3 linked regions of the Coturnix japonica genome follow. The protein of the gene in region 2 purifies or fractionates together with the protein of the main gene of each other region. This does not show direct contact. Links are inferred from orthologs where the notes say so. Each region holds a gene or a part of one and is shown on either strand. Other genes may lie near its edges. The genes, in order: ITSN1, EPS15L1 and ITSN2.

Evidence for each region.
Region 1: the proteins of EPS15L1 (region 2) and ITSN1 purify together in Homo sapiens (affinity purification with mass spectrometry; 4 studies listed by BioGRID and IntAct, with this or other methods). This does not show direct contact. The link is inferred for Coturnix japonica from reciprocal best matches to the Homo sapiens genes EPS15L1 and ITSN1.
Region 3: the proteins of EPS15L1 (region 2) and ITSN2 purify together in Homo sapiens (affinity purification with mass spectrometry; 5 studies listed by BioGRID and IntAct, with this or other methods). This does not show direct contact. The link is inferred for Coturnix japonica from reciprocal best matches to the Homo sapiens genes EPS15L1 and ITSN2.

What each region holds. Positions count from the first base shown.
Region 1 is NC_029516.1:94,963,419-94,967,068, reverse strand, and holds part of ITSN1 (intersectin-1), read right to left. Parts: intron 3,110-3,650; coding exon 3,027-3,109; intron 2,927-3,026; coding exon 2,843-2,926; intron 2,431-2,842; coding exon 2,257-2,430; intron 1,399-2,256; coding exon 1,250-1,398; 3' UTR 1-1,249. UniProt on the Homo sapiens protein: Adapter protein that provides a link between the endocytic membrane traffic and the actin assembly machinery. Acts as a guanine nucleotide exchange factor (GEF) for CDC42, and thereby stimulates actin nucleation mediated by WASL and the ARP2/3 complex.
Region 2 is NC_029543.1:3,396,856-3,400,505, reverse strand, and holds part of EPS15L1 (epidermal growth factor receptor substrate 15-like 1), read right to left. Parts: intron 2,391-3,650; coding exon 2,349-2,390; intron 2,168-2,348; coding exon 2,078-2,167; intron 1,720-2,077; coding exon 1,672-1,719; intron 1,016-1,671; coding exon 920-1,015; intron 532-919; coding exon 469-531; intron 1-468.
Region 3 is NC_029518.1:95,164,447-95,168,096, forward strand, and holds part of ITSN2 (intersectin-2), read right to left. Parts: intron 3,116-3,650; coding exon 2,940-3,115; intron 2,628-2,939; coding exon 2,480-2,627; intron 2,177-2,479; coding exon 1,974-2,176; intron 1,371-1,973; coding exon 1,309-1,370; intron 531-1,308; coding exon 364-530; intron 41-363; coding exon 1-40.

The sequences.
Region 1 (3,650 bases), on a different chromosome or scaffold from region 2:
GCTCTGTCACATCCAGTCCTAGCAAAGCACTTAGTTGTGTACGTAAGGGAAACACTACCTATGTGTGCACTTAGAGACAGACGCTTTGCCGAACGTGGGAAGTTTGCTGGACATTGGCCTGTATGTGTGCTATGTGTTGAGTTAAACACACATAAAACCTTTTGCGTTCCCCAAGATGAAATGACATCACCCTGGGTTTACCCACTCCATCACACGATCACAAACACTCCGTTCTGCTCACGTCTACCATCTTTGCCACCAACTTTGTGACCAGCCCAGTTTGCAACAAACACTGCTGTGAGTGACAGCGCTACAGCCCTGAATTCAGCAACATGATGTCGAACGCAGTCAGGAACAGTCCAGTTTAATAACTGGTCACCACCGATTGCTTTGCAAACTAGTCTATGGGGCAGAAATGAGCTTCCTGAGCTAGAGCCATCATTTTTTTTCCTTCCTCACTGCAGGTGACGGAACATCCACCTGCACTCACACAACTGAGCGGCAGTAGTAAAACAGTATTGAAGTGGTACAGCACAACATTCAGCAGGGCTCTATCGTTCCGTCCTTCACTCACTGTTCAAAGTCTTCTTCCAAAGGTACTGAGTGGGTGGATTCTTCTGGAGTGCAACTCATCTCTGCGCACAAGGCCTGCACGGAATTTATTTTGGGGGCAATGTGAGTCATGAAGTGGTATGTTAATAGAATCTTCTCTGTTTATAGATATAGACTATTTCTTTTCTAAATATTTTCAGTATCGCCATGAAGATCTCCAGAGATCTTCTTACTGCATAACTGTTTGTTCCATTCACAAAACATTTACACGCCACTTTGCTGAGCAATAGGCACAGAATTCCTTATGGGGGAAAACCCTGCAGACAGCCACCAAACATACCAACACTGCCTTCTTCATGTCAATTAACGAGTAGAGTAACTGGAGCAAGCACGGGGACCTGTGCGGTGTGCCAGCAGCACAACAAACAACCAGGTTACTTCATAAACCCAGGAAACCATCATCAGGTTCCACATGGAGAAACTGAGGGAGACTTCCTCACTAAACTGGGACTCGTTTTTCAGTGAGAATTATCAAGGCACAAAGATGCTCCTGTTTGCTTTGATAACCCTCTTGTGTGTGAAGGGCAAGCAGTAGTTTCATACCAAACCGATCAGGGTTTTGTGACAGCTTCTGCAGATACCTACATTGCAGTGAACTCAGACCAAAACAAAAAAAAAAACATTGGTCCCTTTCCTTCTAAGGCTCATCAAACAATTGCAGGTCTAGTCGGACGACTATCTCTCCTGTTGGGACTTCGTGGAGAAGGAGACACTTTGTAACTGGTCCCTTTGAACCCTGATCCTTCTTAATGTCTGCCACACGGATCTCTGTTCTGCCCAGAAAGTCTGAAATGCAAAAAGACGGCATGCTTAGAAATGAAACAACTCTTTTCTGCTGCAATAAAACGCTAAATTGTAGAAGGAGCTAAGCTTCCATCTACACACGACAAAAGGAGAAAACAAGCCCTCAGTCCAATCACATTTTTGCATTTGAAGGACAAACGCTGCCTGTCTGCACAGAAGAGATTTTCATCTGGACCAGTGGCAGCATTCAAAAATGATGCCAAAGGCAGAAAAAATGCACCATGTACTTCACAGCTGCTTTGCTTAAGTAACTTATTTATTCTATGATATGTTAGAAAAAAGGCCAAAGGCCACTGCCCAGCTTGAACTGAACGAGTAGCTCTCAGGAGATGACAGAGCAAGGGATAGATTACAACAGCGACAAGGTCATTGGGGCAAATGGTGCTGGCCACATGAATGACAGTCCTGCCCAAATCCTTCCTGAGGGAAAGTTACTCCAAAAGACATTCCTCAGTTCTCCGTATGTCTACTGCAAGTTATGAAATTAAAGTGGGTTGGGAATTCTGAGTTCATTTCTACTACTGCCTGTTACAGGAACCTGACAACTTTTCTTTTCCTCCTCCATTAATTTGTCCATTTGCAAAAAGCATCCAGAGTTACATGTAAAGACTTGGCAGAATTACAAACTGCACTTCACTTACTGTCAAACTGCACAAGAAAGGAAGCCCAAAAACCCAGAGAGAGTGCAATTCTTTTAGCTCCAACACAAGCATGACTACACTGGGGAGTGAGAGTGTGTCAAACACGCACAGGGGTTCAGTATTTACCTCAGTGGGAGTGCACCTCTTCAAAATGGGAGGCCTGAAAACACCCTTGGAAAGGTGGCTGCCCCCTGCTTACCATCTGGGGAGAACTGGTCCCTCTCAAACACCGTGATGCAGAGCACGTCCTGCTCAAGGTCTTTGATAAAGAACTGGCAGTTGGAGTTCCACTTCGGATTGAGGGTGTCCTGCATTGTCTTGGTGATGTGGCACTGAGAGCCCATCGTCACCTCACAGTATGGATTACTCTTTCCTGGGAAGTAGGAAACAAACAGAAAAATGTAATCATGTTTTCAAGTGCGTGTCTGAATACCATCTTCTTCTTGCAGCCAACAGACCAGGTGAAGACAGTGGCCTTGCTGTCATTTTAATAACCAGGGGCACAGTTCTGCAAGGTGCCAAGCACTTGCCACTCTTCATTAAGGATTTTGTGGCTGATGATCTCTTTTGAAATAGTTTATGTAGTAAAGCTGTTTGTATGAGCCAAATGATAAAGCGCAAGACAACTGCATGACTGCTACTGAACAGCACAGAATCACCTTTGTGCATTTTAAATTCATTAAAACAGCTTTTTTAAACAAAAATATGTTGACAGAATGTCTAAGTTAGTCACATAGGAATGTCTCCTTCATAGAGCACACTTATGAAAATCAGAAGGCACTTACCATGGGATCTGCAAGGTTTTAGTTCAATGCCTTCAACAATATTCACCATCAACCTCCCAATGCCTGTTGCTCTTTGTGAGCGAACTGTGGTGAAACAGAAGAGGAGAGACAGAAGTCCTTAATGTCTTTTCCAGCCCAGGGACTTCCCCATGAACGATGAGAACCCCAGTACCCCATGACATACCTAAGTAGGCCTTTTCCCTCTTCTTCTTTTCAGTCTCTATGTAAAGTTCCGAAGCAGCTTTAATTTTCTGAACCCACGCAGTCCTTCAGAAGGAAAGGAGAAAAAGGTTGCAAAATACCATTTCTGTTCTTACTCCCTACTGTACTGCAGGCAACAGTAAAGCTGGCCCTCCTTCCCAACCCCTTGCAGCCTAAGGCCCCCACCCTGCCTCAGGCTCTGCTACGCTGAAGCTGTCTGCTTGGAAGAGATCTTGCTGGAATTCATAGCACCCGTAGAAATGTAATCAGTACAGCCTAGCAGATCCCATCACATAACAGAAGCTCAAAAGAACTATGAACAGGCAGGGAGCAAAGATGTTTTATGCATTGGGATTTTTCCAGGTAACACATTCTCAAGCTGGCATAATACTATCTATACAATGTGTTTGGGGTTGGTTTGTTTGGGATTTTTTGCTGTTTTTTCAGCTTCTGATTTTTAACAAAAGTTATTTTTCAACAACTTAGAAGTCTGCAGACCAATATTTTCAACATAACTCAGTGCAATCCTGTCTTTGTAACCTTTCCAGAGACACAAGTCACTAGCTGAAGTTGTCACTTTTCTCATTTACTCATTATAAACAGAATC
Region 2 (3,650 bases):
GGAAAACGTCTGCAACTGCAAACTAAACATAAATATTCCAATGCCATGTATCAGAAGCTACTTTATTCCAATCACATATACTGTGTATTATCACTAAATACTACGTGAATTCAAGCTTTAAATTAATTCTTCAAGATGAATTTGTTGAAATGCTTCACTGTTCTCAGTGGGGTTCCTTATACAAGCATCAAAGTGCCTACTATTAGGATTCTGGAAGAAATCCAGGCAGAAGATTAAAATTCACTATGTCTGAAAAACATCACACCCGGGATTGCTACAGGCTTGTTTAATACTTAATTCAACTGTAAGATCAGAGTTCAGTATTCTTTACTCTGCACAAGTCTGCCATCAGCAAGGAAGGACTTTTGAAACGGGAAATATAGTTGATACAGAATTCTCTCACTGGGAATTCTTGAGACAAGGAAAACATTTAAAGAATGAATGGAATGTGTTGTCTTTTACACTTACCCTAACAGCCCAGTGAGGCTCTGTTGAAGGCGGGGTGATCAGCAAGGGACTGCTAGTGTCATGCTAAAATGAAATTTTACTTTTATTTATACAGATGCGTACACACACAAAGGGGCAAAGCTGTAGTCATGCCCATTACTATCCACAGTTGCTGACACAGTTCAAAAATCATCTCCCCCCTCCCCCATAATCGTAGGTTTTAGCCACATCAGCTTAAAAGCACTGACCAAACTGACTGCAGTTAAACCTGCTCTGACTCTGCAGCCCAGGATGAGGCTGGAACACTTTACAAAGGAATACAGGACAGTGGCAGATGTGACTGTGAAAGTTTGACAGCAACCTGAAGTCTCAAAACCACAACGTTTATAAAACAGATTATTTATAAAACTATTTCAGCTGAAGCTTTCCTTCTCATGCAATACATGCAAATGTTCAGGTATGTATTACTTACAAATTTAGGAGGTGGCACAGTCAAATTCAGGCTGCCCATGTTGACCTCATGGCCGTTCTGTGCGCATGCGACGAGGCGCAGTGCAACATAGAAACCCTACAAACAATAGTGCTGTCTATTAAACTAAGCACCCAGTTTAACTCACCCTCTCCAATCATCCATTCAGGGTTTTTACCAACAGTGTACACAGGACCCCAAGTAAAGTACGGAAACAACATATGTACAGCCCCATGCTGTAACTGCACTGCAGCAACGCCTCACTGCTTTCAGATAGGATTCAGAAAAGACTTTGCAGTGATATGGAACAAGGAGTAAAAAACTTCAAAGCTAGTTTTTAAGGGCTGTCTCATACAAACCAACGACGCTCCATATATACATGTAACTAAAGCATGTGTTATTCCAAGTCACTCATAAAACGCCAGTTATCTTTTTCAGTGCAAGAAAGATCTCTAAAATAGACTCTAAAATTACAGTCTGTATTTATTATTCTCAATGGCTGTGTCTATGTATCCCACACACACTGATTATCTAGAAAACAAAAGGAGCAGAAAACAAGAACTAACTTCTCCAGCAGCCCCACTGAGTAATAATCTTGAATATGAGCAGCACCAAAAAAAATCATCTTATAAATGAAAATTTAGAGGTGGAAAAAAAAACAACTATGGGTAACTACTATGGATATCAGGGTTTTCTGGAATCTAGGCTCCACTGTGGAAGGTAATGCAAGAGGTTCACAGGTACATTTTATTTACCTGTTTATCCAAGTACCCTTTACCTTCTGGATCAGCCAAATCCCATATCTGTGGAGATAGAAAATAAAAGCCATTGAAACTTCAAAATAAAATTTAACTCAGCTCAACAATTAATACTATACGTCTTTTCAAATTGTTCATTGCAGATGCCAAGTTATGAAATACAGTTCTATTTAATTCTCAACAACAAAAATGTTACACTAAGGACAAGTTTTCCTTGCAGATCCTTACAAAGCCCAGAACAGGACCCTGAAACTCTCAACAGCCTGTGGTTAACCTGCAAGTCAAAGGATCCAATTCAGCTCCATCTCACCCGCTTTCACTAACCCCTTCTGCTCGCTCTTAGCTGCAGTGAAACAAATACACAGATAATCACTGCAAAAATTGCCTCATTCCTCCAACTTACCTTTCCAAGGATAATATCAGACAGACCAGACTTCTTAAGAAACAGTGCAGCTTCACTTGCCCCAACTCTCCCCGTATACGTTGGATCTACCTAAAAGACAGAAGTTTGCATTCAACTGAAGGATGCCATGAAAGTAGAGACAAGAAAAGAAATGTCTTATTCATGCTTCTGTAACAACTCATATGGTTACCACTCAGTGGGAAAAATTTATAGTAGTTTAGCATGGGAAAGAGGGGAAGGAAATTCTGCTTCAATCTCGTTAAAAACTTACCTGTTTGTAATAAGTTTCATACAATGGAATCCCAGCAGAAAACTGAAAAACAAGAGGGATGATAAGAAAACAATGAACTGCAATCTAAGATAGCCTACATTTAGTGACCACAAGAAAAATAAAAAGCACATACTACCTTGTGCAGTATTTTTAATTTAAAAAATATTTATTTTTTAAAAAAAAAAAAAAAAAAAAGAACACTAGAGTTTATTAAGAAATGCCATAATTCCCTGGCAAAGCTGTTTGAAGATTTCAGCTTGATGTTACCAACTGCATTACACAAAAGCTTCAAACACAAAGGGTCTGTATTCTTGGCATACTAAACAGACAGGCTCCTCTTGCTGAGGTCACAAGGAAACAAGAACTGAAATGCCTAAAGAGGAGAAGCCCCAAACACATATCCTCATTTGCCTCCTCCAACAGACACAAGTCCTAGCTCTGCAACAGCTACACTCCACACTGCTCTCCAGCATTGCTATCAACAGCAAAAATAATACAATCCAACCATTGTGTCAAACAAGTCACCCCTTATGGCAGACAAAGGCCTTAAAAGACAAACAACAAAACAAGCCAATAAAAAAGTTAATGACTGAGATGCAGAGATGTTGAAACACCCCAAAGTGCGCTCAGGACAATCACTCTCCACCTGCAGGACATTACTCAGACACCCAACAAAGGATTCCTTCATTCACTGTCACCTCCCAACCTCCACCTTCCTCCTGGTCACCCAAGCAGACTTATGGATGTTCTGCCCACACCATCAAGAAGGGAGAGAGAAATAGGACCAAAGAAAATGAAGACTGATGAGGAGGAGAAGACTTCATATTACACAGAGAATCTTCCTATACGTTTAAAATAAACAGGGCAAATCTTAATTGAAGGAGCCATCCAACATAATTAACCCTTATTCATTAAAAGTGAGCGCTGAGCTCTTTGAGTGCTGATTATTCTTCCAGGCTAGCAAAATTTTCAAAGCTTTCTTAAACATCTTAAATGTTCTCCTCTTAAACCCATCGGCAAAATAAGCCACTGCACTCTGCACACCATCAGATGTCCCTGCTCTTCCAGAAGCAGGACAAGAGTTTCTGTGGAAAGCTGTGACCGTAACCCATAAGCCTGACTCATCCTTTTGCTAGCTAAATGAACATGGATAAGCATTGTGTCCCTGTCCAGAGCAGGAAACACATCATTCAAAGATGAGGAAATAGGAAACAGTCTGTTCAACTCTGAATAAAACATGGTACGCTTTAGCTAACTACACCCAACTGGACACACCTCCTACTTCTCAGAGAGCCCGGAGCA
Region 3 (3,650 bases), on a different chromosome or scaffold from region 2:
TCTTATTTATTGTTCCAGCTTTGCCAGCATTACTAGAACCCTGTAACAAAGACACAACAATATTCTTTGCATGTTTAATAAAACCAGCAGAGTTTATTCAGGCTGTTTATAAGCACGTGGCATGTACATACATTGCAACTCTGAGCCCTAATTTAACAGAACACCAAGATCCAGCTGTGAGACCAACAGTGGGACACCGTGGTTACAGCACTGATCTGGAAGTCAAGTCCCCTAGGATTCTCTTTCCTGTCAAGCAATTTTATCTCTGCTTAAAATCAGCGTTTAACAGACAGGTATCAATAACAGAAATATACCAAAACAGAGAAAAAGCATCGTTATGCAAGACTCAAAGTAAGAACTCACTTCTTGATCCTTTGGTCTGACATAATTGGAGGGGAAGATCCCAGTTCTGTCATCGATGCTCCCTGTCCACCATTCCCCTTCTTTCTGGGTCACCAGGATTTCCTCGCCTTCAGTGAAAGTCAAGTCTCCAGGCTCAGAGCTTGAATATGAATACAGCGCAACGTACTCTGCACAAACAGTACATATAAAGGTGGAGAGAACATCTTCAGATGGGAAGATTAAAGTCCATCAGACACAAGAATCTTGGATGTCTGCACCCCTCATGGTGTCTGTAGTGTGGATCATGTCATAGAATCGTGGAATGGCCTGGGCTGAAAAGTTCCACAGTGACCACCTGGGTTCAACCCCCTGCTGTGTGCAGGGTTGCCAATCAGAAGCCCAGGCTGCCCAGAGCCACATCCAGCCTGGCCTTGAATGCCTGCAGGGATGGGGCATCCACAGCCTCCTTGGGCAACCTGTTCCAGTGCATCACCACCCTCTGGGTATAAAACTTCCTCCTAAGATCCAACCTAAACCTGCCCTGAATGTCCTAGCAAGCCTGTGAAACAACCCACCTTACAGCCTGCCATCACAGCTTGTCTCATGCTCACACCTCTGAGTTAAGGATGCACAACGTTCTACAGATACGAATTTGGCAGTGAGTTACCACACTTGGAACACACTGCAGATAAGCAGAAGCCTGAAGAACTTACACCCAATTGTACAAAGCAAAAAAAAAACCAACAAACAAAAAAACCCAAGCAAAGAAAATCAAACCCAACCAAACACCACCAACGCGCCTACGCTCAACCTGAATTAGTTACAAATATTACCTAAGTTCTCATTCTCAGATTCTCCTAACTATAGCTCAGCACTTGCACAGTATTTTCTGGTCAAGCACTAAAGGAATTGTTCAGACACGTCTCACATATTTCAGCTCCATCACGCACTGTTATGCTCTCTTACCCTCTCCTGCTGGGTAGGGCTGTGCACCGGACTTCTTCACTGCTGCATAAACAGCTTCTGGTCTGGAGACATGAAAAAGGACATTTGAATAATCAAAATGCTGACCAACGCATCCCTTTATTAGGATGAGCCTAAGCTCGCTCCAGTGTCTCCAAGTTGCTATTTCTTCATTATAAAAGCTCCCTCCCCTTTCAACAAGTGACATATCACTGGTTTTAAGAGCTGAGCAGCAGCCAAGAGCACACCACACCACACCACACTTCAAAAACAATGTCAGACTATATGACTGGAAGGTATTATTCACACCCATAAAGATTTCTGCCCAATCTTCTCGTTCTGAACTATTTCTAACAACTTTCATCACAACACGATGAGAACAATTCACACACAGCAGCGCAGCCACTCAAGCATTGATAAGACTTAAGTAACCACCCTAAGGAATAATCAGCCATCGCTGACTTCTCACAGGACTCACCTTGGAAGCCTGTTCATTTACACAGCCGTGAGCCCAACATTAATTGGCTTCCAAGAATGAAGTAATAAAAGCCTAAAACTGTACGGTGTAAATCAAAGAGCATCCAGGATCTTCACTGCAATCCTTTGGCACTCCGGAACACCTCTCTTTGATAACTACCAAATACAATAGCAGTCAAAGTTACACTTACTCCTCTTTCTTCTCACTTCCAGGTAAGAGCTTGACGTAAGACTTGGGAAACCAACCCCTTCCTCCATGCACCTCCCCAAACCACCAGTTTTCCTGCTGCTCCAGGACAGAAATGATATCGTTTTTGGAGAAGTTCAAGTGGTTATCTTTTTTTGCAGTCCAAGAGCAAAGTGCTTGTGCTTTCAAGTTCTCAACGGGCTGCCCCTGGTAAGACAGAAGCAGAGGTGTGTTAGCAGTCCCCTTCACTGGTGTGAGTGTTAAACATTCACTGACACTTCACTTATTGCAGTCTAAGCGAGTTCATTCCTAACTGCTGGATGCTTTTTTGTCATCTAGACAATGTTTTACAGAAGTGACTAAGAAACAATCTCCACTGTTTCCTATCTGTTACAAATATAAAGTGTTTAATTACAGATGAAAACTATCATGACTCAGAAATGCACTGCACGTGTCCTCTCGGTCCACAGTCCACTGGTGGATGGAGTCACATCAGAACACACAACGTACCTGTCCATGAATGGGTGACACAGACCCAGGGGACACAGTGCGGGTAAAAGCTGACTTCTGTTGCCACGCTGCATTAACGTTCAGGCTGGAGAAATGCACGTTCTCGGCATAATGTGACTCTTCTGCACAATTTGCTTGTGAAAGCGGTCTGCAAATCGAAGACAGACATAATAAAGACACAGCACTTTTTATTCTAAAAGCACTTCACACAGAATCACTACTTTTTAGAACACAGATACAAAACAAGGAATACTACAGTTGTGGATGCCCCATCCCTGCAGGCATTCAAGGCCAGGCTGGATGTGGCTCTGGGCAGCCTGGTCTGCTGGTTGGTGACCTGCACACAGCAGGAGGTTGAAACCAGATGAGCAGTGTGGTCCTTTTCAACCCAGGCCATACCATACAGCATGTTACCTTAACTTTGAACAAGCAATCTGAACACAAATACAACAGAACTCACTCTGAAGCAGCTGAGGTAGTAGACAAAGATACTGTAGGAGGAAGTAAGGCCTTCTTAGGAGATAAAGCTTTTTCTCCTTCTGGCATTCTTTCCACATAATTGCATGGAAACCAACCAATACGCCCATGGAAGCTCCCATAAAGCCAGCCAGGCTCTCCAACATTTTTTTCATCAACCTACAGACAGGAGGATAAACACAAAGAAAACACAATTTGCTGTGTGGAACAACAGGATATCTATCACATGTCAGCATCTGTTGGTAGAGCAAACAGCACAGGCAGCACTCGCAGGGTCAGCATTTGCAATTCTCTCTCCTTCCAGAATTGAGCGGATTACACACTGGTGGTGACACAGTTGTATTGTGCCTCCTGCAGCTCCTCCCCAGGTAACAAACCAACTCAGTGACTTGTGGAGGCCAGCAGAGACAGCCTTGGGTTGTGTGCTCCTCAAATAGGACACAAATCATGTGACACTGAGGGACAGATAACACCAGAAGCAATTCTGGCTTGCCCAAATTACAATGACTTGTGTTGCATTTCATTGACTGCATGGCCAAGAAGCAGAGGCTGGGTAGAGCAGCACGTGAAAACTAACACAGTTTTAAGAGCTGTGCTGCTCTTAAATGAGGAAGCCCAAATCTCTCTCAGTAATCTTAGTTTTTATTAAAAGACAAAACGTGCTGAGCCTCCAATTAACTTTGTTCACAACTCA